2 linked regions of the Arabidopsis thaliana genome follow. The protein of the gene in region 1 purifies or fractionates together with the protein of each later gene. This does not show direct contact. Each region holds a gene or a part of one and is shown in the gene's direction. Other genes may lie near its edges. The genes, in order: RPS2 and ROC1.

The links.
Region 2: the proteins of RPS2 (region 1) and ROC1 purify together in Arabidopsis thaliana (affinity purification with western blotting, with the first as the bait; one study listed by BioGRID). This does not show direct contact.

Annotation. Positions count from the first base shown.
Region 1 is NC_003074.8:866,951-870,797, reverse strand, and holds RPS2 (ribosomal protein S2), read left to right. Parts: upstream 1-2,091; 5' UTR 2,092-2,291; coding exon 2,292-2,951; 3' UTR 2,952-3,250; downstream 3,251-3,847. Other genes in the region: AT3G03610 (ELMO/CED-12 family protein), read right to left, coding at 1-90, 188-256, 787-899, 986-1,088, 1,170-1,352, 1,645-1,647.
Region 2 is NC_003075.7:18,082,860-18,086,477, reverse strand, and holds ROC1 (rotamase CYP 1), read left to right. Parts: upstream 1-2,226; 5' UTR 2,227-2,339; coding exon 2,340-2,858; 3' UTR 2,859-3,083; downstream 3,084-3,618. Other genes in the region: AT4G38760 (nucleoporin (DUF3414)), read left to right, coding at 1-899, 1,016-1,223, 1,363-1,445. UniProt on the Arabidopsis thaliana protein: PPIases accelerate the folding of proteins. It catalyzes the cis-trans isomerization of proline imidic peptide bonds in oligopeptides. Involved in de-etiolation.

The DNA of each region.
Region 1 (3,847 bases):
TTGCCAACCCATTTCCTTCCAGAGTTCAGATTTAAGAGGTGGTAGTTCTCTCTGTGGATAAGCTAGCCTCCATAGTTGTCTAAGAGCATCCTGTGAATCATGAGATTACATAAATTTCGACAAAACATTGCATGTGCATAATTAATATAGAGAATCAAGCAAACAGAGAGTCCATGAGAACACTTACTTGATGCTCCATTCGAGATCCATCAAATGGGATTTCTATTCTTCGCTTAATATTTCTCAGCCTTTCTTCCTAATAAGAGGCAAGAAAATACAGAATGGAGATCAAATTGACAGTGACAGTCAAATTGACCATGGATAACTGGAAACAAAACAAACCGGTAAAATTTTAAAAAGCAACAAAAACAAGCAATTGAGACCATAAGAGAAAGTCATCATTTTACTAAGTAAGCTTCCTAATAAACCACATACACAAGTAAGAGACTTAGAGGCACCAAGCAGAAACACACTCTGATAAATTTTCTAATTCTATACATCTCTTTGTTTTCCAGAGTTACCATTATTCTTCCAAACACAAGCCAATAAAAAGTATTTGTAGTCTACAAATGAGACAGTGCAAATACAGTTACACAAGTATTCTTACAGTTACAAAAGTATTCTTACACAAACTACTAAAGCTATCTCAACAATGCTAAGACCAAGAACCTAATGTGAAAATGTAAACTTAAAAAAGAATATGGTATAGGCTGATGAATTATAGTCCTCTTAAACGTATCTTTTGGTATCTAATGTTCAAAAGATAAGGTAGACCGTTTAGATTACCTGCAACATACTAAGAGGTGGTGGCAGAAGCCTCCCACCAGTACCTATTTGACCAAATGTAGGCAGAGAAAGAAACCTCCCAACAAGTGAGCCAGATCCAAAGACTATTTTGGCTGCAAACCAAGAAACAAGTTGTAATGAGATAATCCCCCTTTTAAAAAATCAAGGAGTGATAGTAACAAGACAATAAAAGCCCAACCTATCCACTGAGCCCACTGTGCAATCAACTGAGAAAAGATTAACGTCCAGTGAACTTGCTGTCTCTTCCGTTCTTCTTCCCAAATATCCTCCAGAGTACGCTCCTAAGAGTAACACCACAGGTAATAATACATAAAAGGGTTCTTCTCATCTCTAATTAAAAACACACACACTGAACTACTAACCTCAATGTACTCATTTCTACTATTATCAGTACTACTACTTCCTAACAAGGGTTCACTTAAAGTTTCAGAGTCTGTTGCATCATAGCGTTCATACTTCCTCCCATCTACATCACCGTGATGAAGCCGCCTTCTCAGAGTCGCAGATGCCATCTTGTATATCAACAGATACAAGCGAATAAGCCCCTGCATTATACCAGAAATAAGATCAAACAAACAAAAACATGAAAATTGGAGACAGTGTCTTGATAATGGAGCTATGCGATTATAATTTAAAGCTTTTCATTTGTCCAGTCTTCCAATTTTTGCACACTAGACACTAATTCTTCAACACTAGATCATAGAACAGACCCATGCAAACAGAAATCAATAAGAGAAAACGAACCCTAGAACTAGAAGCTTCAACGGGAATCAGAACAAGATAGAATTTTTCAACCTAGCAAATTACAAAGCGATGCATCTGCGCTAAGTCACCAACCATTGAATCGTTTTAAAAAAATTCAGAAGATCAAACAGAGCTCCACCACAAACCCTAATTGGGCGATAACGAAAAGACTCAACACAAAACAGGATCGCTTAAAATCCCCAAATCTCAGATTCGACTTTTTGTAATCCCTAATCAGAAAACTTGACAAGAAAAACATCACCAAATCCAAAAACTTTGGAATCTAAGATACATTATAAGGAAAGTTACGAATTGGGTTTGATCGATTCTCTTACAGGGAACGTGATCTGAGTGAAAAGATGAGAGCTTCCTTCGAGAGAAAGGTAAGAATAAGCTCACGAAATCTGAAATCCAAAGGAAACTGTCGCCGCCAAATTTCCCAGAAATTTTATTTATTTCGATTAATCTCTCTTATACGTTACTATTTATTTTATTTCTCTTTTGTTGGTCAACGACCCGGTTTGTCATCCGGTTTACGATGTTTGGTTTAGGCATCTGAAATCTACCGAAATGGGCCGGTAATTAGCTCATACCCAACACGACCAGACCAGACCGACCCGACCCGACGGCTCCAGATTCATCCATGTTTCATCTTCCTCATCAGATCTAATTCAATCTGCGAATTTCTCTTAAACCCTAACCCTCTCGCTGCCGTCCGGTGGTTTTTCCGACGACGAACTATGACGATTCACGCTGCAGTAATCCAGAAGCTTCTGAACACCGGAGCACATCTCGGCCGTCGTGCCGCCGAGCACCATTTCAAGCAATACGCTTACGGGACGCGTAACGGAATGACAATTATCGACTCCGACAAAACCCTAATTTGCCTCCGTAGCGCCGCTCATTTCGTCGCTAACCTCGCCCACATGAGAGGTAACATCTTCTTCGTCAACACGAATCCTCTCTTCGACGAAATCATTGAGCTCACTTCTCGTCGGATCCAAGGAGATTCGTATAATCACAACCGTGCGATGAATCTGTGGAAGATGGGAGGGTTTTTGACTAACAGCTACAGTCCTAAGAAGTTTCGATCTAGGCATAAAAAGCTTTGCTTTGGTCCAACTACTATGCCTGATTGTGTCGTTGTGTTTGATTCTGAGAGGAAGAGCTCTGTGATACTTGAGGCATCGAAGCTTCAGATTCCGGTTGTTGCAATTGTGGACCCGAATGTGCCATTGGAGTTCTTTGAGAAGATTACGTATCCTGTGCCAGCTCGTGATTCGGTCAAGTTTGTGTATTTGTTCTGTAATGTGATCACCAAGTGCTTTGTGGCAGAACAGATGAAGTTGGGGATCAAAGAAGGGAGCAATGAAGATTTGATGAAGGATTTAGCTGCTTGATTTTGATATTTGCAACAAAAGTATGAAACTTTACAGTTGTTTTTCTGAGTCTGGAATAATTGTTCTTCAGAATTGTGGTTACTTCAACTTTGAAATTCTGGGAGTTTTTTACACATGGATGATTTTGTTTCTCTGATGGATATTTCTGTATAAGATTGTTGAGTTCTAGTGTTCTACATCTTGATAACTGCCTTGTCTTTTCCTTGCACAACTCATTTTTTGGAAATGCTTTAGACATTGTATATGGTAATCGTTACTTCACAAGTTTTGGAATGAGCTATTTACAAGTAACTGTCTGGGATAACTTTGAATGTCTCTTAAGACAATTCTATGGTCTTTACTTGAATTTTAGTCGAGTTTCTGTCATGTTCCTGATTTTTTGGGGCATCTCTGGTCATACCTCTTGAAGTTGTACTTATCCTCGGTAGAGTTTGTTGCTAATCTTAGTGGTTTGATCGGCTTGGTTTCCACTGCACGTGCTACAGAGATTGTTAGTAAGAAGTAAGATCAAGCCATGTTAGTCTCCATCTATCATCCTCCGGGACTAAGAAAATTTGCATGTAAAGCTCTTGGAACTAACTTAGACTTTTCAAGATGGTCAAGTTTGATTCTCTCTTCTGGTCTTCTCACTTGTGGAATAGTTGCGATGTCGTTGTGCTTCAGAGATTTTCTCGATGGAACAAACCGACGTTGTTTAAGCTCTCTTAACTCAGTTACCATCCTCTCCAAGAATTATCATTGTTAGCTTTTGGTTTTCTCCTTATTATTGTCACTATAGCTTGTCAACAATACCTTATTAGTTATTACCTTACCTCGACAGAATCAAAGCATCTTCCTCAGTCATATCATAACCCTTTCTTTATCTCTGAGCAATTTTATCATTACAAATATCTTCG
Region 2 (3,618 bases), on another chromosome or scaffold:
TTCATGGCGGTGCTCAGATGCTTCTAAATTCTGGATTTTTCTCGACTTTAAGAGCTTTGTTAATGGAGTTTCCGGATGGAATGTCTACTTTGGTATCTGACAATGAAAAGGGCTCGCTGCTAGAAAAGACAGAAAAAACTCAGCATATCTGGGGAATCGGTTTGGCTGTGGTTACTGCCATGGTTCATTCTCTAGGATCTGTTTCTGCAGGGGCTGATATTGTGGAGAGTGTCATATCTTACTTTTTCTTGGAGAAAGGTTACATGATCTCATACTATCTCGCTGCACCAGATTTCCCTTCTGATGATCGTGACAAAGTGAGGCTACGAAGTCAACGGACGTGGACTTCCCTTGCTTATCTGAGAGTAACCGAGCATACTCTCCTTCTGCTGTGTGCATTAGCTAGCCATTGGAGATCATGGGTTAAAATTATGAAGGATATGGATTCTCCATTAAGAGAAATGACAATACATCTCTTGGCCTTTATCAGCAAAGGCGCTCAACGGCTTAGAGAGTCTCAGAGCCACATATCTCATCTGTTATGCCCTCCAGTAGCGAAAGAAGAGTTTGATTCCTGCAAAAGACCGTCTTTCATCAATACCAAACACGGATGGTTTTCGCTAGCACCTTTAGTTTGTGTTGGGAAACCCAAGATCACTGCAGTATCTATCTCGACTGCTCTAGTTGTTAGGGGAGACACAACAGAACATCCTGGGTCTGTTCCTCAATCGCAATTTTCAGACTCAGTTGCGATACAGATATATAGAGTGGCTTCTCTATTGTTGAAATTTCTGTGCTTACAAGCAGAGGGTGTTGTTACGAGGGCAGAGGAAGTGGGATATGTCGATATTGCTCATTTCCCTGAGCTTCCAGAGCCGGAGATTTTACATGGTCTACAGGTACGTTAATTCGAGACCAAGAACGGTTACTGGTTTCTATTTTTTTTTTTTTTTTTTTTTTTTTTTTTAATCATCCTCTCTTTGCTTGGTACTACAATGTGTATATTAAAATGCAGGACCAAGCGACGGCGATAGTCGCTGAGCTATGTGATAATTACAAATCCAAAGAGATTCCAGATGAAGTAAAGAAGTTGTGCCTTATGCTGATCCAAACGACAGAGATGTCGTTATACTTGGAACTCTGTGTAGTTCAGGTTTGCAGGATCCATCCTGTATTTGGGCGTGTGGATAACTTCTCCAAAGACTTGAAAAAACTAGTGAAAGGTAACAAGTGTTTCTTCCATAGTAATATTGACAAGACTATTTTGGGATTTGGTGCCTTTTTTAAAATACGATTTAGTTGCAAGGAAAAAGTGAAAACGGTTTCGTAACATTGCTGCTTCTTTTGTTTTGTCTCGATCAGCTGCTGAGGTGCATACCTACTTAGAACCGTCCATAGATTCACTGAAGAAAATAGCTGCGTTTCTGTATCCTGGATCACTTTAGAAACAAAACAAACATGAGGACCATGCTTGAATGTGGTACGTATGTATTAGATTCCTTCCTTGATGAGTGATTAAACCGGCTATTGTACCATTGGTATATGTTAGTCATATAATAGTATTATTCTCTTTATTTCATATCATAGCTTTAAAAAAATGTTCGGCTCATGCTGTCCACTCCTTTTGGGCCGCTCGTTGCTTTCATTTTTTTAAATTGCTTACCTCTCAACAAATTCTTTTGATTGGTTCTCTCTCTGACTCTAGGCCGCAGAAAGTGCAGTTCCGAATAATTCTCACTCAACTAACTTTTGATAATCACTTATTCTAGATTATTCTGATTTTTGAATTCCCTCTACTCTTGAACACGTTTACTTACTATGAGGAAAAATTTAACCCTAAAAAGAAAACCACTCATTACAGCTAACATTTATGAGGGGTGGACTATTGCGCAAAGCATTGATAGTGTTAATTGAAAGTCATGCATATAGTATGCGTTACTACTAAAGTTTAACGGTTCAATTTTTTTGAATTTGAACTGACAGTAAATAAAATTAATTTTTAAGATTAAAAGACGTTGTTTTTAGCAAGTTGTTTAGAAATTGTGGGACACGTGTGGCACGTTGCTCCAGGAGGGGCATATGCCAAGTCTGAGATACTCCAACGCACTGACTGACTGACCCCTACTTAACCGGTGGTCAAACTCTTAACCTAACCACGGTTAAGATCTTAAAGCCGTTGAGATTTTCCCACATGTAATAATCTTGTTTATCTGTGAGATATTCGCCGCTTCCCCTTGGCCGGCTATAAATCGATAACCTCACCGATAAATCCTCTATTCATCATCCACAACAAACCTCTTCTTCAGTCTGATAGAGATCTCACGTTTCAAACAACAAGAATGGCGTTCCCTAAGGTATACTTCGACATGACCATCGACGGCCAGCCCGCGGGAAGGATCGTGATGGAGCTGTACACCGATAAGACTCCCAGGACTGCCGAGAATTTCAGAGCTCTCTGCACCGGAGAGAAAGGTGTTGGCGGTACCGGAAAACCCCTTCACTTCAAGGGATCTAAGTTTCACCGTGTGATCCCTAACTTCATGTGCCAGGGAGGAGATTTCACCGCCGGGAACGGAACAGGCGGTGAGTCGATCTACGGGAGCAAGTTCGAGGACGAGAATTTCGAGAGGAAGCACACCGGACCGGGGATCCTGTCGATGGCGAACGCCGGTGCAAACACGAACGGATCTCAGTTCTTCATCTGCACCGTGAAGACCGATTGGCTTGATGGGAAGCACGTGGTGTTTGGGCAGGTCGTGGAAGGCTTAGACGTGGTAAAGGCCATCGAGAAGGTTGGATCATCATCTGGAAAGCCGACGAAGCCTGTGGTTGTTGCCGATTGTGGTCAGCTCTCTTAGGATCTTCCTATCATCATCCTTAATTTAGCATCATCGTCGTCATTGTGGTGTCTCTTTATGCTTTTGCTTTTGTTATGGAGTCTTTTTAAAATTTGTAGTCATAAGTTTGGTGTGTGTTCTCATGGGAACATATATAAACTTGCCCCTTTAATATTAACTACCAGAAATAAGGAATGAGCACTCTTTTATCATATCTAATTTACGTTACCAAATTTCATCTTTGTTATCTGCATTTCCGTTGGAACAGATAAAAATACTTGGTCGAGTTTTTGTTCACCTATCTAATTAATGGTGGACGACGTTATGATCCACGTTGACGCAGAGGGGCTACACCACCACAAGGTCTTGGTCTAAAAAAGTAACACACGTGATTCTGCAGAGAAGCAAATTAGAAAACCCAATTAATGGCAATAATAATAAACAATACCAGTGGGCCTATTTTTTTGTTTAAATCACGGGTTTGTCGATAAGATCAACTTTAGTGGGCCTTCAAATATAATTGCCTTCGTACTCACTATTATATGAAAACGAAAATTTTCCACCTGAAGGCCGGCCCATCAAATCAGGCCCCAAACCAGTTTTAAAATCCACACGATTTTTCTGGAGACTGTGATGAATGATTGATGACATACCAATTACCAAATCAAATAAATGTTTCAGAGAAGACTGAATCTCATATTTATATGCAGCCAGCAGGGACGCATATGCCTTTAATTACGATTTCAGAATAAAATAATTGTGAGGGAAGCCAATACGTGTG